Pelodiscus sinensis: one gene and its partner. The protein of the gene in region 2 binds, or shares a complex with, the protein of the main gene of each other region. Links are inferred from orthologs where the notes say so. Each region holds a gene or a part of one and is shown on either strand. Other genes may lie near its edges.

Region 1 (9,939 bases), on a different chromosome or scaffold from region 2:
TTTTGAGGAGGTCTAATTACGTCACTCAGAAAGTCACATAATGTAAAACTCCTTGAATGAGTCTGCTGTTTCAATATTCTCATTCAGTACTAGGAATGTGAAAGGTTAACATCATCAGTTTAAGTGGTAACTGATGGGGGCTGGAGCAAGAGGCAGGGGCTTCTCCAGCAGCCCCTGTCTGCAGGGAGTCCAGTCTGGGCCCACCATGGAGAGGGACTGCTCTGGTGGGGAACTGGGAGCTGGTAGTAATCCCAATCCAAACATGGTGCTGAGAGCTGACAACCAGCCCCAGCATAGGGCTGGGGCAGGACCCTGGTAGGTCAGGGGCTGCTCCAGCCGTGCTGGAGTGGTCCCCAGTCCAGATTCCGCTTTAGTCGATAACTAGTTAAATGTTAGGTAAACCTAATTTTTAACCAGTTAACTGATTAACCAGGATTTCACATCCTGATGTACCAAATCAGAACCCTTTGCAGCATGATTTTAAGTGGCTCATCTTATAATGGAGGCTTTAAGGTTTGGAGATCACCTACCCCTGCACACTGAGATTTAATTGCTAATTATGCTTGAAGACTCAATTATCCTCCTGCAAGGATTAATATTTATAGTGGAGCATAGGTAGATATTTCATTTATGAAAAGACAACGTAAAAAGTTTACTCTCAATATATTCCTTCACAGAAGGTCATGCTTGACTATTGCAATTAAAGAAGTTTGGTCAAGGCAGAGGAGAAAGACTTTTTACTCATTTAATATCCCTAGATTATGGCATGAGTTAGTACGGCGTTAACAATCGGGTATCTGTGTAAACGTGTAACCGCTTGAAATTTTGATTTAAAAACCCTGTCAGAATGTAAGACCTAAAATCAAATCATGAGTAAGGCATTCTAGTCAGATAGCATGTTTACAGCAGGATCATTGACCAATTCCGTGTGAGTCATTTCAGTTCCAGGTTTAGTAATAAACTTCTGACTCCATTAACACCGTCCAGGTAAAGAGTCAATAAACGAAACATTCAAAAGAAGAGAATTTCCTTGTTAGTAATGCCAATTCAAATAATCAAACCAAGTGGCATAATTCATAGAGAAGCTGGTCAAGAGAAGCCTAGAAAAAGATTCTGAGACATATTATAGGTCAGGAATGAAACTGTCTGACAACATCAAATGCAGAAAAGGTTTATGGTGCTCAGTCCACACGACTTTTTAAACTTTATTAAAAATTATGGAACTGCAGATATGCCTTAGAGTGTCACTATTACTGAATGGAAAACACTTTATTTAAAAAATGGTTGCTCTGCCTTCATCCAGCTTTCTGTCAAGAAATGAGATGGTCTTTCTATGTGTACCACTGTCTAAAATGAATATTAACCTATATTTTATATACTTGGCGTGTGATTTCTTTGGGGCAAGAGCTCTATTTTCCGAAGTATCCGTTCACTGTTTAGCACAATAGGGTCATAATTCTCTATTGGGATATATACTTTAGGAGAATTTGTGTCTGTCTGTCTCTCTGCATGTCCGTCCATCTGTGTATGAGTCTGTTTGTTCAAGAACTCCTCCTAAAAGCTAGGAACTAGAATCACCAAATTTAGTATGTAGCTTCCCCTTATAACTTAAAGCGAGATAAAAGCATTTGGCTGTGCCAGGACAATGGGATGTGTGATTGTGTTTGTTTCTTATTAAACTGAAAAGGCAGTACAATTATACTCCCAAATGACCATGGGGAGAGGGAAGAGACAGCAAGCTCCCAAGCCCCTGAGGAGTGGCCAAGTTGCATGGCCCCCGCTGGCCTGGGGAACTGGCTGGCAGATGGGCAGCATGTCCCCTCCCCCTCGCCCCGACCTGAGGGGCAGCTGCCATCCGCCCAACACCCTGCCCTGAGCACCCCACTTTCTCTCCTACACCTTCCAACCACTTTCCTGACTCCTGCACGCCCCCCATCCCTTGCCCTGAACCCCTCTTCATCTCCCAACCCTGACCCCTGTATCCCCCACATCCTCAAGACCTTGCCCTGACTCCTGTACCCCCATACCTTTGACTCTGTGCTCTGAAGGATCTGAGCAATGCTGGGTAAAACTTCTAGTAGTACAAAAAGCAAATAATTCAAATCTTTCTAAAAATACTGTAAATAAATGAGCTACAGTGTATTCATTCGGAACAGCTGTCAGCTGTTATAAAAGATATTCCAGCAGGGATAGACAAGTAGGAGGCCCTTCTTCACCTCAGTGGGCTGCAGCCGCCCACGGGGGTTCCACCTGTGACCACCCTCCCCCATGCACCTCTGCGCTGTACTTATCTGCTCCTCCCTCTCCCTTCCAGCACTTTCAGTGTGCACAAACTGCCTGATCTGCACTCCATCCCTCTTCTCCTCCTTCCTCCCAGAGCCAGACTACCATGAACCGCTGACTTGTGGCATTCCAGCTCTGAGGCATTTGTGGCATTTCAGCAGGAAGTGTGAGGCTCCAGTACTGTACCTTGTTGTGCAAGAAGCGCATGGGGAAGGAGGACAGCCAGGGGGTCCATGAGCTGCAGGTGGAGTGCCAGTTGGCCGTATATGGCCTGCAGGCCACAGATTCCCCACCAGTGGGATTAGAGCATTCAAGAGGATAAAGGCAAAAGGGAAAGTTATCCCATAGATTCATGTGGGCAATGAACAAACTGATAATCTGGAGCCAGCATGGCATCATCTCTTCACGTGTCTCTTATAGGCCTTTTCCCACAAGCAGCTTCATGAAAGGTGACTGACACTCCCTCCCCCCCGACATGTACCTGGAACACAATCCCTGTTGGTTATAACTGCGTTCAAGCAATTGCTCAAGAACCATTTCTTAAAAAAAAACAAACACGGTAGCTGGCAAGTTTTGGTGTTTTATGGATACGCAGAAAAAATACTTAACTGCCAACAGCGCAGCCCAGTTTAAACAGGGTGTACTGATGTTGCACAAGCTAATTGACAGAAGTTTTAGCGCTGAAAAAATCACTCTGAACATTGTTACAAGCAGCAGGATCAGAATCCACACACCCCTCTCTCGCCCAGCCGAAAACAAAATTCCCCAAAAAAAGAGGCATTCGCGTTATTTCACCACCGGGGAGGAGGGTCAGTATTTTCAAGTCACGGACTCCTAAGGCCAACCCAAGTGTCCACCCGATCTAGTCAACCCGTACGCAAAGTTCTCACCTAACTCGGCCGAAGGTGCCTCCCCACAAAGACCCACCTCCCTTAGAGCCCCTTCGGCAGATGCTCCTTCCGCAGCTCTACAACCCCCCACGACCACTGCCGACGCCCGGAACCGCTACAAGCCCGCCGCTCCCCTCCCACCAAACCCCTTCCGGGACCCGCTTCTCTAGACTCGCCCTTTCCAGACCCCCGAGGCCTGGCTCCAGTAAGGGCCCATTCGGTGTTGGGAGCCGCCGCCGCCACCCCACGATGATCACCGACAGCGGGTGCCCCTGTGCTCGTCTCCCCCCGGAGCCGCATTCACTCCAGCACACTCCCCCCACCGCCCTCCGGCCCGACCTCCACTCCCACCGGGCTCCCCAATCCCCGCCGGGTGCCCCGCCCCGGCCGTGTCACTCACCCTTTGTAGTAGGCTTTCACCCGCACCTGGTGGGCGCTATCCCCGCAGAGGCCGCCGCCGCCGCCGCCCAGCGTCGGGTGGGACATGGTGGTGCTGGTGCCGCTGCCGCCGCTACTCTCCCGCTGCGTCGGCATCTCCCCCGGCCCCGCCAGAGGAGCAGGCAAGGAGGGAACGAGCGACCCCGCCGCCACCCCACAGGCTCCAGGAAACGCTTCCGTCCCGCCCCTCCTACGGGCGCCTCAGAGTCAGCCCAGCCCGCGGCGGGCCGCGCCAAGGGCCCATGCTCGGTGGGGGAGGGAGGAACAAACCACTTCTTGGAGCGAAAGGGAGGGAAGAAGCAAGGCGCGAACAAACCAAGTCAGCGAGGGGGAGAGACGGGATCAGCCCATGCGCCACAACTCTGTGTGTGTGGGGAGGGGGGGTACACTACTCCTTCCGGAGAGAGCAGGCAAGCACCCCCTCCTCCCACCATTTGCTTCCTTAGTCTCCTCCAGGACACACCTGTTGGGGAGGGGGGGACTGTTCTCCGCTCTTGGGAAGGAAGGGGCGGAACAAACCCGAACCCCCTCAGAAAGGCACCAAAGCGATTTATCCCGAGACAAACGATCCAGGAAAAGCTGTACCCCCCATTTTCTCTCGCATCCCGTGCTAAAGTGAAGGCGTGCGACAACAATGATACCTATGTTATCCGCAGTTGGTAGAGTCCACAGGTTTCTGGCCGGGAGGGAGAGGGGGAAGGAGGCTTGTAGAGGAGCGAGCCAAAGCCGTGGGGAATTCTGGAACTCGTAGTCACTAAGGTTCAGGGGGCACGCGCCACCGCTGCTCCTCCCCCCTTCTCCTACTTGCCACAATGGAGCAGTAGCGTGTGCGGGTGACGTGTGCAGAGAGATTTTACAGGGAAGGGGCTGCCTGGGGTGGAACAGCAGCATCTTGGTTGGTGCTCTTCACTAGGAGAAGTCAAGGGCAGGGAGTTTGCTATCTGGGGTAGGTTGTACCAGAAGAACTGTTCCATGAGGGCTACGTCTAGACTGGCATGATTTTCCGGAAATGCTTTTAACGGAAAAGTTTTCCGTTAAAAGCATTTTCGGAAAAGCGCGTCTAGATTGGCAGGACGCTTTTCCGCAAAAGCACTTTTTGTGGAAAAGTGTCCGTGGCCAATCTAGACGCGCTTTTCCGCAAAAAAGCCCCGATGGTCATTTCCGCGATCGGGGCTTTTTTGCGGAAAACAAATCTCTGCTTTCTACACTGGCCCTTTAGCGCAAAAGTTTTTCGGAAAAAGACTTTTGCCCCAACGGGAGCAGCATAGTATTTCCGCAAAAACACTGACAATCTTACATGAGATTGTCAGTGCTTTTGCGGAAATTCAAGCGGCCAGTGTAGACAGCTCGCAAGTTTTTCCGGAAAAGTGGCTGCTTTTCTGGAAAAAGTTGTCAGTCTAGACACAGCGGAGGTGTGTGAAGTCAAGAGGCGTTGTGTAAAGTTAAACTCGTCCTTGAATGTTTTGATGAATTTGAGCCCAGTCCAATTCCTGTTTTAGTGCAGTGTCATTGCAGTATTGTTGGTCCCAGGGTATTACAGAGAGGAGGTGAGTGAGGTAACCATAACATCTTTTATTGGACAAACTTCTGTTGGCAAGAGAGATAAGCTCTGTGTAAAATCGAAAGTGCTCTCTCTCTCTCTCAGCAACAGAAATTGGCCCAATAAAAGAAGTTACCTCACCCATTCCTTATCTATGTATTTTAATGGAAATCATAACAGGTGTTTTGGCAGTAGCAGTGACACCTAGAACAGTATTTCCTGAAACTCACTGCAAAGTTCCTTTTTTAGCACGCAGATATGATTTACCATTGTTTTGAGGTTATGACTAATTAACAGGTTTGAATTCAACAAATTATCGAAATCTACATGGCCTACAGTGTTCACTGCAGCATTCAGGTGCAACAGGATAGAGTGGCAGCAATAATTTGATACAACAATCTACTCTAGTTTTCAAGGGAGACCAGTAATTTGGTGAGGAGCGTTCTGCAGTACAGGCAGTCCCCGGGTTACGTACAAGATAGGGACTGTAGGTTTGTTCTTAAGTTGAATTTGTATGTAAGTCGGAAATGGCATCCAGATTCAGCCACTGCTGAAACTGACCAGCGGCTGACTACAGGAAGCCCGAGGCAGAGTTGCTCTGCCCCGGGCTTCCTGGAATCAGCCGCTGATCAGTTTCAACAGGCTGAATCTGGACGCCAGTTCTTACATACAGATTCAACTTAAGAACCTCAGGCGTCCCCAAGTCAGCTGCTGCTGAAACTGATCAGCGGCTGATTCCAGGAAGCCCGGGACAGAGCAACTCTGCCTAGGGCTTCATGTAGTCAGCGCTGGTCAGTTTCAGCAGCGGCTGACTTGGGGACGCGTGGGGCAGAGCAGCTGGGGTGCTGCTGGGTGGCTTCAGTAGCGCCGCTCCTCAACGCTACTGGACCAACCCAGCAGCACCCCAGCTGCTCTGCCCCAGGCGTCCTGATTCAGCCGCTGCTGAAACTGACCAGCAGCGGCTGAATCAGGACGCCTGGGGCAGAGCAGCTGGGGTGCTGCCGGGTTGGTCCAGTAGCGCCCAGAGCGGCACTACGGGACCAACCGGCAGTGCCCCAGCTGCTCTACCACAGGCGTCTGGAGAAAAGCCTGGTCTGCTGGGGGGAGGAGGGCGCACTAGTTGCGCCTTCCCCCCCCCCCCCCCAGCAGACCAAGGAGATGCGGGTGGCGGACCGAGACGCACCGCGGTCCCACCGCCCGGGTCCTCCGCGGCTTTGCTCCGCGTCTCCCTGGTCTGCTGGTCTCCAGCAGACCAGGGAGACGCGGAGCAAAGCCGCGGAGCACGCGGGCAGCGGGACAGCCCAGACGCGCCGCGGCTGTCCCGCTGTCCGTGTGCTCCGCGGCTTTGCTCCCCGTCTCCCTGGTCTGCTGGTCTACTGGAGACCAGCAGACCAGGGAGACGCGGAGCAGCTTTTCTCGCCCCGGAGGACGTGGGCGGCGGGACCACGGCGCATCTGGGCGTCCCGCTGCTCCCATCCTCCGGGGCGAGAAAAATCCCATTCGTAACTGCGGATCCGACATAAGTCGGATCCGCATAACTCGGGGACTGCCTGTACTGTAAAATACTCAGGAAGCCTGAATGATCTATTCTCATTTTTCACCTTCATCCACTAATATGAGTGTCATTTTAAACCTGTTTCTGTAGGACGCAAAAGAAGGTCATCAATAATTTACCAGAAGGAAATGTAGCCATGGTAACTCTTTGTCTGCTTAGAAGAAATAATTCAATCATATAGTTAGAGGTTTCTAGATCTGTTTTTCTTTCCTGACAATCAGCTAGAGACCTTGTCTAAAAGTAGTGGCAGTAGAAACAAGTGGAGTGACCTATTATAGGATAATTTAACTGGGGATAAGCTAGTCAGTGCACTTGTTAATTACCCCAAGAAAAAAGGGGAATCCACACATTCAGATATGGACCTAACCTAAAGTTAGAATTTACATTCAACAGCATCCAATAAACAAGGCCTGGTCTACACACAAAAATTAGGTCAACCTCGTTACGTGGTCAGGGGTGTGAAAATTCCAATCACTGGCTGATTTACCTATCCTGACTTAATTGCTAATGTAGACACAGCTATGTCTTCTTATGTCAGTGTAGCTACTGTCATTGGGAGAGGTGGTGTTCCCAAAAACAATGGGGAAGAACCCATTCCCTCAGTACAGGATGTATCTAAATGTGGTATTGCCAGCATAGCTACAGCAACATAGTCTATATCAGAGCTGCTCAACATACAGCCCACAGGTCGCATGCAGCCTGTTTGTTTGCAGCCCTCAGTGCACTTTGGGTTTATGCAGGGCTCCACATGCGGCCCACAGGTGGGATCCTTTGAACATGGCCACCACTGGGAATACACTCCATAACAGCGAGTCACTATAATGGTCTTCTGTTGATATGCATTTTAGTAGTAATATGCATTCCTGGACTGTCATTGCTGTCATATGGGTGAAAATCGGGTAAATATTGCATTTTATTAATATCAGCAGAACTGACTTAAATGGGGCCTGTGTGTTGTGTAGTCTTGCCTTAATCTTTGTATTCATGCCTGTCAGTGTGAAAGAAGATATTTGCATATATATTTGCATGTATATGCAACCACACTTAAGTTGTGGCCCCCTGCATGTGCTGTGAGTATCACTGTGGCCCCTGGGGCTTCCAAAGTTGAGTAGCTCTGGTCTATATGTTGGTATAGTGGTGGTATAGTCTCCATAATGCAGACATGCCTAAAAACTTTCATTTACAGAGCTCAAATAACATAGGGTAACAATATGTATATTTTAGTCAAACACATGCTTTGATAAGAAAACAGTTGTTTCCTGGGGAATAATTACAAATCTAGTTGCTAACAACCTGGAACAAGACTTTAACCCTTGGCCTGCCAGCCATCATACAAAAATTATCAGCCTGCTATACTTCTGTAATGCGAAATCTTAAATTATCTCCCTCTATTTTGTGACACTGATAGACCAACCAACCTAATGACTCATAGGCTACGTAATTTTCCGGAAATGCTTTTAACGGAAAAGTTTTCCATTAAAAACATTTTCGGAACAGAGCGTCTAGATTGACACGGATGCTTTTCCGCAAAAGCACTTTTTGCGGAAAAGCGTCCATGCCAATCTAGACATGCTTTTCTGCAAAAAAGCCCTGATTGCCATTTTCGCGATTGGGGCTTTTTTGCGGAAAACAAATCTGAGCTGTCTACACTGGCCCTTTTGCGCAAAAGTTTTGCTCAAAAGGACTTTTGCCCGAACGGGAACAGCATAGTATTTCCGCAAGAACACTGACAATATTACATGAGATCATCAGTGCTTTTGTGGAAATTCAAGCAGCCAGTGTAGACAGCTGGCAAGTTTTTCCGGAAAAGCAGCTGATTTTCCGGATAAACTGGCCAGTCTAGACACAGCCATATTGTATGACCCATGATAATTTAACAGGAGGCATTACAACTGTAATCAGGTCTATCTACTTGGATATGATTTTCAGAGATGTACTAGATAAGCAATCATCAACACATTCATTTGTAGTAAAAGAAATCAAGGATTGATGTTAAATGTGTTTTTCTGTGTTTACCTCTTTCTTGTTAGAGGTTTAAAAATAAAACTGATTAGTTTGTAGATGCTAATCCATTCTAGGGATGTTAAATGGCATTTAATTAGCTAATTGACTAGTTGATGGAATTTCCATCAATTAGTTGATTAATTGATAAGGAGGAAAAACTGCAGAGCTGCAGCAGGGTTAGTTCCTGGTTCCGTAAGCCATGCTGCAGCTCTGCCTGTTAAATGTATTAAGAGCCATCTGACTTTTAATACATTTAAAAAGTACAAATGCAGGGGGGAACTGGGCACAAGCCAGGAATCAGCTGATTCCTGGCTCATGCCCAGTCCCCCCCGCTATGCCTCTACCTCTCTGACTCCCCAGGAGATGGTGCTGGGGGGGCGACCAGCTTATAAGCCGGCTCCCCCAGCACTGGCTCCTGCTCCCCCACTGTGACATAGTGTTGGTACCTTGCTGGTTGCTAGGCTTGGGCTGTGGGTGACCACCACTGGTTACTGTCTGTACCATGGCCCAGCAGAGTAGGTGATGGGACAGGGAGGTAACCTGTTCGACCAGTTACCTCCCAGGGAGAGGAACAAAGGAAGGTGGAATGCCGCCCCTGGCTGGGGGGCAGAGCTGGAAGGGATAGTCTTTTAGAGTCTGTCTGGGAAGCAGGGGAGAAGGAGCTGGGGGGGGGGGGGGGGGCTGGGATTGTAGGGCCCAGCCACCCCCCATCTCAAGGGGGGGCACTGAGGCCTCCTAGCCCCAGTCCCTGTAACAAGATTACATCTGTGCTGCGCTGTATCCTAGAGAAGCAATAAACTCCCTCTATTCTACTGGCTGGTGGAGTCTGTTTGTGCCACTATGGGGGTGCAGAAGGCAGGGGATCCCGACGCGCCGCCACACCCACTTACTGCCTCTCTCTGATAGAGGCAACAAGAGCAGGGAAGCGGCTGGTCAAGTCACTAGTTGACTAGTTGCTTACATCCCTAATCCATTCCATGGCTTAATTATGTATGTAATTGTGGCCAGTTAACCATAAGACCAAAGATATAAGATACTGCAGGAAACTAATAATATTATCTACATTATCTTTTGTTTAACTGTGTTATAATGATGGGACAGTTAATTGTTTTATGTGAATGAAACTAACTAGTTTACTGGGGTATGTATAAGAAGTGGAAGATAAGCTTCCAAGCAATGGTCCACATGCTATATGCAAGGCCTATTCTTTTTTGGAGGAAGGCCTTGCT
Region 2 (9,711 bases):
AAAAACACCAGGCAAGGTGCTTTAAACACCGAGTCCCTGGCACCCCAGGCAGCAACTGGCCCTGTGTGTGCGTTTGCCAGCTCTGCACTCCCCAGCCCTCTCTCCAATTTGCCATCCTCAGTCTGCAATGTGTGTTCCTTCAATGACACCTGGGCTGAAGGTTCATTGGAGGAGGAGGAGGAGGAGGAGGAGGAGGAGGAAGCACACACGTCCGCTCCTTCCCCCCCCACATGTATCGCTGCTCAACCCGACTTGCCATTGGCACTCATTCTTTGGCATCACACAGACAGCTGGAAGCCAGCGGGGGGGAGGGGAACTCTGTCCCCTACTGCGAGCCCCTGGCAGGATCCGGGAAGGCCAGCTCCGAGTGCCGGATCGGCCGTTTCCCCTGGGCACCGCTCCACGGTGAGCACGGACACCACGTCCACGGAGAGCAGAGGCAGGCTCCCTTCATAAGTCACGTGCCATATTTGGAGCAAGCTCAGCTGTTTCCTTCCCCGCCCGTTGGGAACAAGGCGCTTGGATTTTAACTCGGCTCGTTCATCCAACACCCCGTCAGACACTCCAGCTGCGGCAGAGCCGGGTCTAGGCCCTGGATTGGGCTCTGTGGAGAGAGCCCTGCTGCTTTCCCTCCACCCCCAAGACAAGCGATAGCCAGGGCAGGCTTATGCTTGACGTGAGGGGCTGCAGAGGGGTTTGGTTTGCCACACTAAGGAGATCCAAGAGCCTGGGCTAATGAAGTTGCCCTTTGGGGACTGGCTCAGCCTGTCTATTCACAGCAGAAAGCAGCCGCATGGCAGCCAAGCACGTGAAGTGTGTGGTCGGAGGCGGACGGGCACACGGCAGCAGGACATCACAGCTGTCTCAGAGGACTAAGATGGGAACAGGAGTCTCCAACGAGTCAAGGGCCGGCTGCACCTCCGGCAGAGGGAACGCTAGCCTAGCAGGAGAGCACGGCTGGGTTAGGCAGAGCTGGTGGGTGTCAGATGCAAGCCTGCGTCATTCACTCACTGTCCCCACACTTGGCCAAGCCGAGGCCCACCAGGGGCCGTCCGGCCAAGGCTCCACAGCCATCCAGATGTCTCCGTTCAGCCCCCCCTGTATCCCCCCCTCAGCCGTAGCTGCTATTTATCAGCAAGCCAGTTGCTAGGCACTGAGGAAACATCACCCGCCCTGCTGGAAGCCGAAAAGCCGCGCTCAGGGGAGGATCAACTCTGAGTCACAGCTTTGCCCGACAGCTGATTGCTGAGGCTGGAATCTTGGCCAGAGCTATTCGCAGCAACGCCCATGCAGGGAGAGGGCGAGGGCGTGCCCTCCCGCCCGCCCACCAGATCCGGGGCTCACGCAGCCCTCCCCAACCTCCACGGCTGGACCACAGAGCGGTGACATCACTTCTCCTCCCCGAGCCTGGTGACTCACGCTCAGGGAACCGCCCCAGGAAGCAGGTAAACACCAGCCTCCCTGGGGAGCACATGGGGGCACAAGCGAGGACCCACGAACAGGGTCGGGGGCAGAGCGAGGAGATCCCAGACTCCGGGCATGTGCTCCTGCCGCTACCTCCGAAGCAGACACCTGGGGAGGTCGCTGCACCTCTGGCTGTCCTCCTACCTGCCTCCAGCGCGTCTGCTCCTTACCCAGGCCCTATCCCCTCTCGCCTGGCACCAGAACTGTGCCCTCGCTTTAGAGCTGCATAAACAGCCCCTGCCCACAAGGAGCCACGCTGGAGCAAACTGGCAGGCGCAGCGGGGAACACCCATTCGCAGTGGGTTACGAGAGTCAAGACACCACCAAGCCGGGCTCCGTGGAGCCCTCCAAAGCTCCCAGCTCCGCAGCCTTCAGCCCAGGCACAGAGAGGACACGGGTAGCCAAGGCTTTCAGCATGGCTGCAGTCAAGGCAGAGAGATTTTGCAGAGGCAAGAAAAATAAAAGCTCCTCGCTGCGAGCCCGACTTTGCACACTCATCTGGACAGGGCAGCCAGCCAGCTCCCCAGGGTCAAGGCTGTTCCACGGGCCGAGAAACCCCACTTCCCCATCCAACACACCTGGCGCTCAGCCGCAGGTCCAATTTTCAAAGCCACAGGGGAGCTAATGAGTTGAGATCAGCTGCCAGATAGATCCTGGAGCCGCAGCAAGCTGGACAGAAATACAGCCCTGGCGCAGGACAGTCCCAACACCTCCCAGGGCAATAGAGAACGCCTCTAGGGGACGAGGGCTCCCCAAATGAAAATAATAGGTAGCAGGTTTAAAACAAACAAAAGGGCGTTTTTCTTCATGCAGCACACAGTCAACCTGTGGAACTCCTTGCCAGAGGATGTTAAGACCATGCCTGGTGGTAGCTGGAAAGCAACCCACGGGCAACAGCAAGTTCGCCCCGCAGCTGGCCCGAGGTGACCTTACCTTCTGCCCTTCTCCGGAGTCTCCCAAGAGAGCACATCCAGGAAAGGATACACTTTCACAGCTCCCGATTTGGTGCCGACTGCCATAATTCTCAGCTTGGGGTCGTAGGCCAGGGAGCTCGGCTGGTTGGGGAACCCATGTTCTACCGTCTAGGAGGAAGACGAGAGAAATGAGACGTCACCCGTCAGAGTCCAGCGGTGCGAGACGGACTCGTTGTGAGCCCCAAGAGAGGGTCACCCGTGGCCCCACTCAAAACCTCCCGCCGGTGCAGCCTCTGTGGGCTTGGGCAGTGTGTGCACAACTTCAGTCGCATCCTTATTTACCGGGCCCACAAGATCTCGCCATGTGCAGCCCACCCCTCCCTGCAGTGCTGGGGAGGAGCCGGGAGGAGAAGGACTCACGCTCTTGGAGGCCGAATCCCCGAGCACCTCCCTGAAAGTGATTTTCACGGGACAGGGCAGCTACAGGCAGCCCTGCCCTGTTAACCCATTGCCCAGGTGGGCTAGGCAAGACCCACACACCCCAGCCTAGCCCTTGGGCAAGCTTGAGCCCTGGCATGGACCGAAAACAGTCAGACCACGTCTTCCCTGCTCCTCAGAGCGACTTGTGCTCTGACAAGCCCTGCAGAGCTCAGCCCAGGATCAGGGCCGAGAGCAGCGTTCCCCAAAAGCAGCCGCCCAGGAGGGATTCATCAGTGCACATAAAATTTATTCCACACATGGGTGGAAAAAACTTAAGGGGAACATTGACCCGGAGGGTTCAGAGCGTAGGAAGCTGGGCCCTGCCCCAGATGGCAGCACGACAGGGAGAGAGTCAGGACAACAGGTCCAATCACCCCACACGCGGTGAACAGCCGCCTAATCTAGCAGCCCTGGCTCGAGACAGCTTGCGGCGACTGAGCTGGACGCAGAGAAAGAGAGTGGCCAATCCCTGAGCATCCCAGGGTCTGCGAAGCCTTTCAAACAGCTGCACGCAACAGCCAGGAGGCAGCGCCAGCCTCGCCTTCGCGCCGGCCTCCGCCTGCTCTTTGCAGCAAGGGCTCCGAGCAGCAGCTACAGGAGCAGCGCTCCAGAGACAGCCGGAGGCCTTCTCTTGCTGGCCACAGCCTCCCCTCCGGAAAGTTAAGCGCCCCCGCAGCCCGCCGGGTGCAGCTGCGGCCTCTCCTCTCACAGCTCCCACCTCAGGGGCCTCCCAGGCGGCCAGGAGTTCGGAGAAGTGGACGGGAGGAAGAGGGGAACGGACTCGTCAGGCTTGGCTGGAAGAGCAGCCTGAGTCGCTCCCTCCCCCCCGCCTCCCCCGAGCGGTCCCAGCTGCCCTCCGTCCATCCAAGGACCAGGCGGTTGGGGGATTTTTTCAGGACCAACCCGCAAGCCTCCTTGTGGCCAGTTCCCGCCCCCTCTCTCAAGGGCTGGGGTCAAGCTGAGCTCAGCGCAGGAAGGAGAAGGAAGCTTGGCTCTCGCGCCGCGGACACTCCCCTCTTCCCTCACGGCCCCTTGGCAAGCAGCGTAGCTCCGGGCAGCCCCCCAGAGAACACGTTCCTCACCCTCAGAACGGGGCCCCCCGCGGCCGAGCAGGGGGGCATGGGCATCCTATTCGCTAGCAACCAGAGCTGGGAGCAGCAGGCCCGAGGGGGGCTCCCCTCAGCAACTCGACGAACTTCACTCATCTGCCACACGGAGAAACAGGATGTTTTGGCACCGACAGCGCTCAGAACGGCGTTATCCAGGAAGTGGCATCGGCAAGAGCCCCCGTTACAGGCGCAGAGCACAGGACGGTACATTCCTCCTGCCCCAAGCGCATGAGGCTCATCCCCTCCGCAGATGCTCAGGGGTACGACCCATCCCGCCAACAGGGCCATCTAACACGGGGCACTTCCCGCAGAAGGCTCTCCCCAGGGCTGTGCCACTGTCTCCAGGACTAGGGCCAGTCTATGTGCACAATGCTGGGCCGCTGCAGCGTGTCTGATGAAGATGCTCCGTGCCGATGGGAGAGAGCTGGCTGGCACAACACAGTCACCTCCACAAGCGGCAGCAAGTGTGTGTGTGTGTGTGTGTGTGTGTGTGTGTCACACACACACACCCCTCCTGTGCACAATGCTCACCCATCTCCACAAGCGGCAGCAGCGCGCTCTCTCTCTCTCTCACACACACACACACCCCCCACCCTATGCACAGACCTCACCCATCTCCACAAGCAGCAGTAGCTCTCTGGCTAACACACACACACACACACACACACACACACACACACACGTGCGCACTGCGCTGTCAGTGAAACTTACATGGCTCAGGAGGTGCAACAGTCACACCACGAGTGACATTTCACCAACATCGGCTGTCGTGTAGATACTAGCCGTTGTGTCACAATATGGCCTGGAAGGTGCTGTTGGGAAGAGCCTACGCACAGACTCCGAACCCACGTGTCCACTTAGCATCTCCTCACTGCCAGCCTCCTTGTGGCGGCTCTGGGGCAGATGTTCCAAGCGGCCCTTTCAGCACAACTAGTACTTTCTCCAACAGGACGGAGCGGGGAGTTCGAGGAGGACGAGACTAAAGGATGCTCAGGAAGCGCAAAAGCAGGTTGGTTTGTAGACTTAGAATCCAAGGACAATTCAAGTTGTAAATAACGAGGCAGCTTGGGAGGCAGGTGGGAGTTTACCCAAAGCCAGTCAAAGGACGGCTCGGGAACAACCAGCCAGCAGCCCCCCTTGTTCCGAAGGCACTGCACTGACGCCAACTCCTGCGCAACTAAACAGGGCCCCGGAAATCCCAGCCCCACAAGGGCACGGTCACAGAGCACCGCAGACCAGACTCAGCAAGTCCCGATTTGCTGGCGGCTGCTGGGCCCAGTGCAGCAGTGAGAGACTCACCCCCCCACGCAGGGGATCGGGATTCTTACGCAGCCCTGCACAGAAGCTCAGCGGAAAGGCTATGGATGAAGTCAATGCCCTTGCCCGACGAAGGGCAGGTTTGGGCACCGGGTCTGTATGCCAGCAGGGGCTTTAGATCTCGGACCAAGCGACACCTCATCACCTCACACTGGAGGAGGCCCTGGACACGATACTGCCACATTTCTCCTGGGACCGGGGCTGGGATCTGCCCTGGTGTCGGCCACCGTATCAAGGGGAGAGCGGCAGGGCACAGCAGCCATGCACGGGTGATGCATGTATCTTCCATCCCGCCCCGCAAGACAGCGACCAGAGAGCACTGAACTGGAGCGCCAGTGGTGGTCCTCCGGCAGGACGGAGTCAGTACCATGCACGGCCCTCAGCCCCGCGCTGTGCTGCAGCCCACGGGAGGAAGGAGGGGACAGGAGCTGTGACCTCAGCAAGCCAGAAGGGTCACTGAGTGTGAAGCTACGGTCTGGAATTCAGGCTCCTTGGAGCTAGACCCGAGCTGCCTCGGCACCTTCCATCCAAGGGTCTCCGTGCTTGGCAGCCACCCGTTTGCACCCCGCCCCTCTGGGTTGTAGGTCTCCATTCTGTAAGTGGGGTACACCAGGAAGGCTAAGTGACATGCCCAAGGTCACAAAGCAAATAAGTGGCTGGACTAGGAGGGTTCTCTGCTTTAACTACTAGGTTGTTTTGCCAGCAGAAAACTCAGACCCATGGGTTGGGATGGCCAGCAGAGGACACCCGCAAGCGACTCACAAGCAGCGAGGGGCATTCACAGTCCTCAGCACGCACTCCCTCAGAGAGGAAGCATCACCCGCTGTCGAGGCAGGGAACAGCGCCACAGAAAGGAAACTGACGTGCCCAAGGTCAGCATGAGCAGTAGGAATTCAATCCAGCTTTCCCAAGTCCCCCAAACAAGGCAATTCATTGTCCCTGACAAGACACTGCACAATCACAAGGGGTGAATGGAGGGCAACATTCACCAATCTCCTACGTCAAGGGCTATAGAATTTCACGAGTCTACACAGGGGTCCTCCCAGCTGAAATATAGAGGGAATTACATACCCTTTTTAACTAGAGGCTGCCTCTCTGACTCCTCCTCAGGGGAATGGCACAGTGGTTGGCCAGAAGACCCTGATTCAATTCCTTGCTCTGCTACAGACTTCCTGTGCAACCTTGGGCAAGTCACTTAGTCCACACGCCCTCTATAAAATGGTTATTAATTTCCCTACCTGCAAAGAGAGGCACAAAAGACTGCAACACACTCGGGGATTTATATCTGGCTATGACAGCTAAGACATCACTCCACAGAGTATTCCCAGATCAACCTGCCAGGTCAGGACGCAACTTTTGCCTTTCGGCCGAGAGCAGGATGTACTGCAGATGCATTTAGTCCTTCCTTTTTGTCCCCCGAGTGACAAGCCGCAGCGGATTAGCAGCTTACCCCCTACCACACATACACTGACGTTAGCCATCTGCTAGTTTATGTTTCCCCCGGCTCCCAAAATCGTATGCTCCCGCCTCTCCAACTGCCTCCCCTGGTTTTCCCACTGGGAGCTGAAGATTTGGTTTATTACCAGCCGTCAGCAGCAAACACTTTATTTTTATTTCATGCACCAGCTGTTCAGCGCTCTTCCCTTCCGTGTGGGTTCTCCGTTTTGATGGGTTTCCGCAGACCAATTACGTGAGCGAAGTACTGCAGGCGCGCGGCTGTTTAACAGCCATGCTGCTGCACGTCTCACCCTGGTTTAATTACTCCGATATCAGCTTAATCACTGTCCTGGGCTAACTAGCCAACCAGGAAGCAATCAGCGGGTGGGGCCTGCTGTCTCATTCCCAGCTGCGGAATTCCTCATTGACACGAACCAATTGGCTCGTCCCCATTTTCCTGAAGGCACCCGATCCCTTCCGAATAGGCTCTGCTGGGCGAGTTCACCTGCAGCCACGCAGACGGCTCCTCCCACTCTCCAGCCAGGGGAGGGAACCAGCTGGTACGGAATTCAGACATCAGGACAGCTCGATTAGATCCCAGGGCTCTGACTACACCTGTACAGGACCTGGGATGGGCACGTGCGTTTGTTTGGGTACAATACTTCAGCGGTGAGCAACCTGTCTTCCTGGGTGGAGTGGCAGCACTTGGATCTGGGCTGGCCAGCAATTTGTTTTCCCGGCTCGGCGCCTGACGTACATGGACTCCCGGCGTCTGACGTACGCGGAAGTGGCAGGGGAGCGGACCAGCGCTTTAAATTAAAGGGGCCACAATAATGTTCCCAGCAGGTTTTTTTTTCTCCCCCCTTCAACAAAAATGTTCCCGGTGAATGAAAGAAGATTGAGCACCACTGCGATACTTGGGGCGTCTTCCTAGGGCGCTGGAAGGTATTAGGCAGAACTAGCAGGAGGGCTGAATATTCCAACCTCTTACATAGGCAGAAAACCCCTCGGCAGCAGGACAAGGCATTACATGCCGGGAGGCTGTTTGCCAAAGTTCACCGGCCACCCCTGCTCAAGCAGATCCGGCCTGCACCGCACCCGTAACGCAACATCCAAGGGGAGTCCGACGGGAACGACTCCACATGCTACAGCAATAGTCAGTGGCGCATCACCGCACGCCTGCAGCGAGCCTCCCCCGCTCGCCTTGCCTGGCTTCATACAAAGGCCCGTCTCCCCGCGGCCAGCTAGATCCACTCTCGACTTGCTCTCTGCGGTGACTTGTCCAGCCAACCGCCGACGAGCTGGCGTCTTGGCACAGGGCCGCTGCCACCAGCCCGCTCCCTTTGGGCGGGAGGCGGTGCCTTCTCCCAGGCAGGAGCGACCTGTCTTTGAAAGCGAGACTCTGCGTTTCTAGCCGCTTCTAGTCTTTTGAGAGGACGACCGGGGATCCGTGACTGGCCACAACAATCACTCCGAACCTCCAAAATCAGAAGGAGAGGAAGAGGCACGAAGTGCGGTTCCGCCACAGTCCCCTCTAAGGCTCTTGCTTACAAGTGGCCATCACGCAATCCTCAAGGCATCCCCTCTTCCGCCGCTCGTGCGCCAGTCTCGGCACTAGTGAGTGCACCGGGATGAGCTGCAATCTCCGCGCCACACCCACCCTTTGCATCCGTCCCCAGCAAACGGGAGAAGAGGGCCCAGAAGGTAGCTCCCCACAGTCAGCCGGCCTTTCGAGGAGCACCATTGCTGCTGGAGTCATCTGGACGATAGCTTCAGGAGAGAGCTGCAAAATCCCCTTGCACCAGTTAACGGGTTAAATCAGGGATGTAAGTGACGAGTCGACTACCCAATAAGCGTAGGCTCGACTAGTCACTCCCCCCACCTTGCTGCTTCTATCAGAGGCATCGGGGGGCGGGGGGAGGAAGTGGCTTAAAAGCCGCTCCCCCCAGCACCGACTCCGCAGAGGGAGGGGCAAGGGAGGCAGAGGTGCAGCAGGGAATTGGACCAAAGCAGTCCCCACTCGCTGGGTTTCAAACTGCTGCCCCTCTGCTGTTGAAATGTACAAGAGCCGCCTGTGGCTCTTGTACATTTCAAAGGCAGAGGTGTAGCTGGATAGTGAGCACTTCCCCTTATCGACCACTCGATGGAAATTCCATCAACTACTCGATGAGCTGATGAATCGAAATTGAATAGCCCTAGGTTAAATGTTACATTTAACCCCTTAACTGGGATCCCGCAGGCACGGGGGGAGGTGGGGGCGCTCTCTAGCCCAGCCTGGCCACCAGTTAACTGGTTACATCCCTAAGGGAGCAGAAAACCTCTCTAGTGCTCAAGTCACTTCCTCCGGATCCCCACGTGATGGCGCACCACTGGCATGTAAAAGTAATTCATGACTTGGGGAGGGGGAGGCGTGGCTACAGCTAGGACCTAAGGCGACAAGAAGGGCCATAGCAGATCAATAGGTGTGACGGGGAGGTGGTGGGCTCCCTTCTCTTCCATGACACAAGCTAGAGCAGCTACCAGCTGACCTTGGGCACGTCAGTTTCCTTTCTGCGGTGCTGTTCCCAACCTCGAGGGTGGGTGATGCTTCCTCTCTAAGGGAGTGGGTGTGGAGGACTGTGAATGTCACTCGCTGCTTGCGAGTCGCTTGTGGGTGTCCTCTGCTGGCCATCCCCAACCCGTGTACTTGAGTTCTCTGCTGGCAAAACAGCCTAGTAGTTAAAGCAGAGAACCCTCCTAATTCAGCCACTTATAGAATCATAGAATCAGAGCTGGAAGAGACCTCAGGAGGTCATTCCCACTTACTTGTTTCCCTGTGGAACTCCTTGCCAGAGGATGCAGTGAAGGTTAGAACTTTAACAGGGTTCAAAAGAGAGCTAGATAGATTCATGGAGGTTAGGCCCATCAATGCTATTAGCCAGGATGGGTAGGAATGGTGTCCCCAGCCTCTGTTTCTCTGGCAGTGAGAGACAGGGGAGGGATCACATGAG

Evidence for each region.
Region 1: the proteins of LLGL1 (region 2) and PRKCI are in contact, whole or in part, in a cryo-EM structure (PDB 8R3Y), measured with the Homo sapiens proteins. The link is inferred for Pelodiscus sinensis from reciprocal best matches to the Homo sapiens genes LLGL1 and PRKCI. Residues at the interface, in NP_004131.4 of Homo sapiens: Ala315, Asp319, Glu367, His391, Ser392, Ala394, Thr396, Glu453, Cys483, Glu484, His485, Phe506, Asp507, Pro508, Tyr509, Ser510, Asp511, Pro513, Gln518, Lys519, Lys569, Ala600, Val601, Thr602, Leu644, Gly648, Pro649, Leu650, Ser651, Arg652; in NP_002731.4 of Homo sapiens: Asp339, Met341, Gln345, Arg348, Leu381, Asp382, Met399, Thr412, Phe413, Cys414, Pro417, Leu425, Glu445, Gly449, Arg450, Ser451, Gly457, Ser458, Ser459, Asp460, Asn461, Pro462, Asp463, Asn465, Thr466, Glu467, Asp468, Tyr469, Leu470, Phe471.

The regions. Positions count from the first base shown.
Region 1 is NC_134720.1:38,760,593-38,770,531, reverse strand, and holds the start of PRKCI (protein kinase C iota type), read right to left. Parts: upstream 4,059-9,939; 5' UTR 3,708-4,058; coding exon 3,574-3,707; intron 1-3,573.
Region 2 is NC_134726.1:34,106,449-34,116,159, reverse strand, and holds the start of LLGL1 (lethal(2) giant larvae protein homolog 1), read right to left. Parts: upstream 4,193-9,711; 5' UTR 4,178-4,192; coding exon 3,941-4,177; intron 2,547-3,940; coding exon 2,449-2,546; intron 1-2,448. UniProt on the Homo sapiens protein: Cortical cytoskeleton protein found in a complex involved in maintaining cell polarity and epithelial integrity. Involved in the regulation of mitotic spindle orientation, proliferation, differentiation and tissue organization of neuroepithelial cells.